Linked DNA regions of Drosophila melanogaster. The protein of the gene in region 1 interacts with the protein of each later gene in a pairwise test. Each region holds a gene or a part of one and is shown on either strand. Other genes may lie near its edges. The genes, in order: RabGGTa and RabGGTb.

Evidence for each region.
Region 2: the proteins of RabGGTa (region 1) and RabGGTb interact in a two-hybrid assay, tested with the Drosophila melanogaster proteins (2 studies listed by BioGRID).

The regions. Positions count from the first base shown.
Region 1 is NT_033777.3:5,126,380-5,130,574, reverse strand, and holds RabGGTa (Rab geranylgeranyltransferase subunit alpha), read right to left. Parts: upstream 2,489-4,195; 5' UTR 2,408-2,488; coding exon 860-2,407; 3' UTR 636-859; downstream 1-635.
Region 2 is NT_033779.5:2,877,036-2,881,319, forward strand, and holds RabGGTb (Rab geranylgeranyltransferase subunit beta), read left to right. Parts: upstream 1-2,076; 5' UTR 2,077-2,228; coding exon 2,229-2,844; intron 2,845-3,008; coding exon 3,009-3,436; 3' UTR 3,437-3,673; downstream 3,674-4,284. Other genes in the region: Prx6a (peroxiredoxin 6a), read right to left, coding at 153-354, 576-768, 829-1,102; Sbat (sabbat), read left to right, coding at 1,558-1,923; NTPase, read right to left, coding at 4,193-4,284.

The DNA.
Region 1 (4,195 bases):
TCTTCCTCATTTTTGTTTCAGTGAGTCTCCTTCGTGCAGCTGCGGCACGTAATGACATGCGGCTGCCAATGTTGTGGACGCGCATTGAGCTCCTCGCATCGCCATCCCGTCGCAGAGCATCTCCGCCTCGAGGGTCTTGCATAATTTATATAACCACGAGAGCCGCCAAAAAACCGCAAATCTCGCAGCTCCCCGCTGCACACGCGAGGCGACATCGGTGGCAACAACAGAAGCAGCAGCAGCAACTGCATTTGCAACATGGTGGCAATGTCAAAGAAACCCTCAGCATTGTGGCAGATTCCGGGACCGCTTAAAGTAGCCAGCGTTTCCATGCAGCAGTGTTGATGGTTTTCCCATTTAACTCGTGGAACATTCGATAATGGATGGCTGCGGATGTCATCGATTTCACTTGCGGATAGAAGCAAATTTGTGTTGTGTGAATTCCGACAAAGAGCGTTTTAAGAACTTTTCCTAAAATTCATGTTCAATTTGTTTGAATTTCCTAAGAATAGGAAATCCATCTTGGTAAGCATGGAGCATATAAAAATAAACTCTCATTTCCAATCGAAATCGACCTCGTCTTGGTTATTTCCTTATTAGCAACCATTTACTGGAAAATTAAACTCGGATATTTTACTATTCGTATATTTGCACATCGATATACAAAGAGAGTAAAAATATGTATTAGTAATGTACATAACATTTCTTCTCATACTCGTACAAGGAATAAATAGGAATAATTTCAAAATGGAATTTAGCGATTGATTGCACTTCTTTCAAGGCTTTCAACATCACCAAAAACGGTTCAGCACCAAATGTAAAATATGGCTTATCTTATCGAAACCAATTCACCAATGGTCTATGACTGCAACTTCAAGTCTGCAAACGTTTTGGGCACTGATTCCCCCAATTTGTCTCGCAGTTTGTTGGGCAAGGTTATTTCATCAGCGATGACTAAGTATTGATCATAAGGAAGCGATTCCAGCAGTACGGCATTCGCTATGTCAAATCTTTTGGGAAAGTCGGCCGATTGGGGCCACTTGGCAAGCTCCCACTCCAAGGTCCACCTAGCAGCGAGGTCCTTGTAGTAACCCTCTCTTAAAAAATCCACCTTTTCCAACTTGGCCAAGTGCGCCAAGCTCGTTTCGTGATTGGCTGAGAAATCGATAGCACGCATTAGAAGGGCACTTGTTAGTAGGGTCCACTTGCTGTCCGGCTCAAACTCCAGAAGATCTAGGCAGGATTGCAGCTGCGTTTGCAGCTCCGCCAGGAGATCCTTGCTGCAACTCGTAGTGCCGTGTGGCGGCGCAATGTAATAGGCTCCGTTTTCCGAGCCAGACAGAGGCGAGAGGTCAACCTTCTGATCGGAGAGCCTAAGGGAGTAAGCTGAGTTTCTTTGGTAATCGAAGTTCTGCTGACACTTCCAACTGGTTCCACGCTTGTCCACTGGTAGCCAGAACTCCAGTAAAATCGTTTGTCCTCCCCCAACTAGCTCAGTCTTCAATTGCTTTATATCTGGGTAGGGCTTGTCAAGGGCGAGGACTGCTCCATGTGACTCCAGTCGAAAAGCAGCTATCCTTGGAGCCCGATCCAACTGGGCGCCGCTGCCCAGCAACCAGCGCTGGTAGAACCAAGCACTGCTGTCGTTAGGATCCGTGAAAGCAGCGGTCAGCACCATTTCAAGCTCCTTCTGCAACTTCTCCTCACTCATGGGCCGGTCTCTCTGCTGGTTGGGGTAGAGCTCCGGAAGCAGGAGACTGCGGTGGTGCCAGCTGGAGTAGTTGGAGAAGTTAGCCCTGATCTTCTCGGTGCAGAAGTCCAGCTCCTGGGTGGCCGGCACCATGGCCTTGCCGGTCACATAGCGCCTGTAGTCCCAGGTGTGGAAGTTGCGCTCGTCGAATTTGAGGTACTTGTTGCACAGTTTCACCTCCTGCTGCCAGTCCGCCCTGGGATTCTGTTCCAGGGTCCAGCAGCGGTGGTGCCAGGCGTTGTAGGACTTCGGGTTGACCATTAGGCACTGCTCGGTGAGGTCCAGTTCGCAGGTGAAAATGGAATGGGCCTTGTCCTCGCCAGCGGCCTTCTTTTCACTCGGCTTATTCTCACCGGTTTGGTTTTCCTTCTCTGGCTTCTCCTCGCTGGGCGTCTCGCACGTGGCCTCCTCTTCCTTTAGCCTGAACAGCTTCTCCAGCACGCACTCCCTGCGGATGTTCCACAGCATGCTGACATCCGGATTCCGCAGCAAGATCTGAACTGTCAGGCTGAGCATTTCGTTGTCCAGCTCACCCGCCTCCCTCTTCTTCTGAATCCTTCCCATGGCTGCACGGTAGGCCCGGACTTTCAGAGCCTGCTCCTTCTTCTTCCGCTCGCGCTCCTCCTCCGTGGTCCTCACTTTTACGCGTCCGTGCATTGCCCTGAATTGAATTAAAGTCCAATATTTACAAAATACGAAAATTATTAGTCAGCAGTGTGGCCGCGCCGGGAACGATAAAAAATACCAACCGTCCTACAAGTAAATACCGTCGTATGCCAATTTACTTTCAAGAAATACCCTTTCCATGCACTGGAAATAAAAAATAAAATTTCCCAATTTCCTTACTTAAGTAAAATCGTATTGTTTATAATTCATTCAACAATTTATATTCAACAATTTGAAAATTACCAATAGATGATACTGTAATTGGCGTGTAAACAGCCAAAATACTCAAATCAGGAAGCATTTTAGTGGCGAGACTCCGAATTTATATACAAAATTAACAGAATATGCAAACCTCTGCAACGCAATACAAAATAGGTGCATATCATTCATTCAAACAACTTAACAACTAATCGATTTTATAGTCATTGCAATTCAATTTAAAATATAGAAGAGGCCATGGAATATATGTATTCCAAAGGAAAACATAAATTCAATTTTAAGATGCGAATTGAAAACAAATATTATCAAAATATGATATCTATTACCTTTACAGCAAATACAAAACAATAATTATTTTCCCAAAAAGTGTAAATTTTAAAATTCCACTCTTTATTTCAAAAAGATTTCTTCAATATCTTTGAAAGCAATCTTACATCTCATTTTGAAAGTAACGTACTTTCACACTTCGCCATCCCAAGTTCAACAGTTTTTAATCGAAACACATCCTTAGAAATCGGGATGGTGCCTGAGAAAACACCTTAAAATGCGAAAGCGCTTTATTTTTAAATTCCGGTGTAGGAAAAAAAAAGTTTTATGGGATGTATTAGCTCAGCATAAGTTTCTAATAATTATATATAATCTGATATCTAATCTCATGTTAATTGAACATTTTTTGACCCGATTGTTGACAAGCAATTACTACAGAAGTCTTGTACCTTTTCCTTTCAAAAATGAGCCGTGCCATCATATTTTCGTTGATTTATAAAGTTCGTAGCACATTTTACATTTAATAAGATTTCGTAGCACTCAGGCATTGTCTTGACATATGCAATCTTACACAAGTTCATTGTATCGAACCCCGAAACATCCGGAAGGTGGCACTTAGCTAGCTAGTAAAAGTGGAATTAGTGATTTGGACGCAAGGTGGCGCTTTATTTGATGTCTTAAGAGTAAAACGCAGTGTTGTTTGCATAAACGATTTAAAATTATTAATATTATTTATTATTAATTAAATTATTTCTTAAATAAAATTTTTATTTTTTAATAATAATGGATAATAGAATAACTTTTTTATATAATTTTCAGGGTGTGGCGCAGCGAAACTACTTTAAACCTCAATTTAATACACGTAACTTATATAGAGGGATTAGTAGATTCCTTGATAAGTATGTAACAGGATGCGTTTTCGACCCTACAGAGTATATACATATATATATGGATGATCGCTGCGATATCGGGAACTATAAAAGCTAGATAAGTACAGTTGATTTAAACTTTTTATTATTTGGAAATTCCTTGTAGAATCTGATGCACATGCACTTTTATAATGAAGAAAATCATGAATATTTTTGGTTTTAATGTATAAATTTGGAGTCCAGCTTCAGTTTTATTTCTGTATGGGTTAGCGCAAAGACACTAGAATTCTAGTATTTAGTATTCCTATCCTATCCTTAAATTGTATATAAAATATTTAAATGCGGGTCACTTGTCTGCCATTGAATTGTCTGCCAGTGCTGAATTCTAAGATTAGACGAAAGATTTTGAAGTCTGACTACACGC
Region 2 (4,284 bases), on another chromosome or scaffold:
TTTGTCCAGCAGAAGGCGAGTTTTAGCCACCTGAAAGCGCCGATCTACTGAAAATACGGTTGTAAGCGTATACTTTATTGTGCATTATTTGTTGTTAATTATAATTTTTGTAATAAAGCAAAAAAAAAGTGAGAGCGCACGCTTGTCATCCATTAGGGCTGTGGAGTGATCCGCAGGTAACTCTTTCCGGAGGGCAGCTCAATGGTTTCGATACCATCAGGAAAGAGCTTAGGAACATCTTCGGCTTTGACGGTGGGCAAGACCATGCACTTGCCGCCCTGTTTCCAATCCGCCGGCGTCGCGACACTCTTTGTTTGGGTCAACTGGAGCGAGTCGATCACTCGAAGGATTTCACTGCAAAGGATATAGTTAAATGTAATTTGTCGGATTAATTGACCTTGAAATCGTTCCTATTTAACTTCCATTATTATATGCAAGGTTAGTACTTAGTTTTCAGCAATAATACTTCATTAAATAATTATCTGCTAATGCGATTAAGTGCACGATTGTTTGCTAAAGTGCATTACAGCATTACTTTATAGATAATGATGAATGCTAGATATTGGAATACCCACTCAAAGTTGCGCCCAGTGGTGGCAGGATACAGGATGGACAGGCGAAGCTTCTTCTTGTCGTCCACCACGAAAACGGCGCGACAGGTGAGGGGAATGCCCTCGGCATTGATCTCGTCCTTGTCCAGCATATTAAACTTGAGCGCCAGTTCCCTTTTGTCGTCCGCAATGATGGGATAGTCAAAGGAGCTCAGCTCTGCGAACAGAAACGCCAATTAGAAGCGATTCCTGTCCAGAAATCAGTGACCAAACCCACTGCCAAAGCTCTTGATGTCCTCGATCCAACCCTTGTGCGACTCCACGGTGTCGCAGGACAGTGCAATTGGCTTGACTCCACGCTTTTGGAATTCCGGAATCAATGCCGCCACCCGGGACAATTCCGTGGTGCAAACCGGCGTAAAATCCGCCGGATGGGAGAACAGAATGGCCCAGCTGTCCTGCATCCAGTCGTAGAAATCGATTCGACCCTCGCTGGTCTCAGCCGTGAAGTTTGGGAACTGATCGCCAATGTTTAAAGCCTTTCCGGACATGGTGGATATTTGAAAAAATCAAGAGACGAATTACGAGCTTTTTGGATAAATGCGAAACAAAATTTGCCGCAAAATGCAAATCAGCTGACTGGGCTAGGGTGCCCGTTACCTTTATAAGCTCAGCTCGACCAGGGATGCAAATATAAAAAGAACTAGTTTTCGTATGAAGATGTTAAAAAGAAGGCTCATTGTGTGCATTCATTTTGCAATCATTTCCTTTAAGTGTTTTAAATCTAAAGTATTTTCTTTGACACAAGCAAACGAGTGTTTCGTATATTTTCGAATTTATGAGCTCAAAAAGTGAACCAGTGAACCGAACCACTTACACGTGCTTGCATCCCTGGCCATTACTCATACACACGCACACTATATCACACATACGCGCAGTGTAAACACAAAAAAAGCTGAGAATTTCTTGCATTTATTTGTTTAAATTGAGCAAAGAGGATATAACCATGACAGAACTGAGCATCACTGGCCAGCAGGTGATGCCCCCGCCCGCATGCACACCACCGGAGCCCTTCCGCATCACAACGAACGCCCCGCACCAGATGAACGATGCCAGTTTGACGCCGGGACGCAGGAAGCTCCAGAAGTGGCTGGGTCGAGTTCTTCGGATCGTGATTACGGACGGACGCGTGCTGGTGGGATTCTTCAACTGCACGGACCGCGACGCCAACATCGTGCTGTCCATGTGCGCCGAGTACTTGGTGGAGGGCCAGGAGCCGCGCCTGCTGGGCAACGTCATGGTTCCCGGCCAGCACATAGTCTCCCTAAGCATCGACGAGCCGGATCCGCAGTCCAGCCTGCTGGTGCAATAGTGTGCATGTGTTTTGAATAAAATAAACTAGCTATTTGAAATTTAAGTACGTTTAATTTTTATTTTTGGATGGGGTTATAGTAAACCCCTCCACACTACGCCCCTGCGTCGATCAGCTGTTTGATAAGCCACTGCCGCGTTGCCAACCATCGCGCAGATGAATCAGCTGTGCTCGATTGGATTCACTGAGTTATTTGTTTGCTCGCAGCACTATTCCTGCCAATTAATAGAGTTAATCAAGCGAAACAGCGCGCCGAAGAGGATCTGCCAGCCACCCGATACTCATTCAATTGAGCCCAATCAGCGATGGACTTCACGACCTTCGTAAAGCCCTCAAATGGCGGTGGCGACAGCGGCGGTGGTGGTGATGCGGATGGCGGCGGCCAGAAGCTGCAGTTCTGGAAGCATGTGGAGTACATCGAGAACCATGGGAAGCAGGAGGACGACTACGAGTACTGCATGACCGAGTTTCTGCGCATGTCGGGCATCTATTGGGGCACCACTGCCCTGGACATTATGGGCCAGCTGGAGCGATTGGAGCGCAAGTCCATCATCGAGTTTGTGAAGCGTTGTCAGTGTCCGAACACGGGCGGATTCGCACCCTGCGAGGGCCACGATCCCCACCTGCTGTACACCCTGTCGGCCATCCAGATCCTCTGCACCTACGACGCCCTCGAGGAGATCGACCGCGAGGCGGTGGTCCGATTCGTGGTCGGACTGCAGCAGCCCGACGGCAGCTTCTTTGGCGACAAGTGGGGCGAGGTGGACACCAGGTTCAGCTTCTGTGCGGTGGCCTCCCTAACGCTGCTCGGCCGCATGGAGCAGACCATCGACGTGGAGAAGGCGGTCAAGTTCGTGCTCTCGTGCTGCAATCAGACGGACGGTGGATTCGGTTCCAAGCCGGGCGCCGAGTCGCATGCGGGTGAGTCACCACATCGCCTGTCATGCTTTCGCCCTCACAGTCAATATCATTTCAATTTAAACTTATTAATCTTCTGGGAACAAAAAGTATACTAGAAAAATAGCTAGCCATAAAGCTGGTGCTCATATATGTTATCCAAAAACTAATCTACATATAACCCGCAGGGCTCATCTACTGCTGCGTCGGCTTCTTCTCGCTGACCCATCGCCTGCATCTGCTCGACGTGGACAAACTGGGCTGGTGGCTCTGCGAGCGGCAGCTGCCCTCCGGTGGGCTAAATGGACGGCCCGAGAAGCTGCCGGATGTATGCTATTCGTGGTGGGTGCTCGCCTCGCTCACCATCATGGGCCGCCTGCACTGGATCAGCTCGGAGAAGCTGCAGCAGTTCATACTGTCGTGCCAGGACACGGAGACCGGTGGCTTCTCGGACAGAACTGGCAACATGCCGGACATATTCCACACGCTGTTCGGCATCGGCGGACTCTCGCTACTGGGACATTCCGGCCTGAAGGCCATCAACCCAACGCTCTGCATGCCGCAGTACATCATCGACCGGCTGGGCATCAAGCCGCAACTATTGCCGAGGCCATGAGGGGATTCATCGATTCCACATGCAGCCAGTGCGTAGCCAATGTGTAGTGCAGCAGACCTCTGACGTATTCCCACGCTAGCGTTTCTTAGTTTTATTTGTAAAAAGACCAAAATTCCATAGCAGGAACACCCTTTCTTTACTCATTTTCTTCGTTATGCATTTACCCCTCTATTATTATTAAATATAGAATATTTTGTATAGCGAACGAAAATCAGCAATAAACAAATATTTTACTTTAATTCAGATCAGTTAACATTTGATTTATTTGCAAAGATAACTAAACTAACATTTGCATGTGTGAAAAACCGTGTGAAATGTTTGCGGCTAGTAGTCTAGGTCGTTATACATATTAGGTAAATACATATCATTGTGTAAATTTATGTACATGAGGATACGATACGAGTGTAGGGACTAATTAGTTAAGAAGTTGGCAAAAAACTGCATTACAAATATGGCGAATCACACAAAATTGGAATTACAAACTAAACGCTAAGTGTAGTCACCGTGTATGGGTTAGCTCAATTAGAGGCAATTGAAACGAATCTTGCAGAGCACAAACAAATATTAATCGACCACATCATACATATGCTGTGGACAATGTCCGAGTGTGTGTTCTGTGTGTGTGTGGTGTGTGCGGTGTGTGCGGTGTGTTGTGATTGTAGTATACTCGATGCACGTCTAAGGCACTCTATAAACAATTTCAGCTAACAATCCGTTTAAAATTTATGTCTTCAACTACGGACTAATGGAGGAGCATTAGGAATTACTGAATTTCTCGTCGCTAGTCAGAACGTTGTATGCACAGCCGAGGGCCCAGGAGATTTCGTGGCCATCTATCTTCTTGTAAA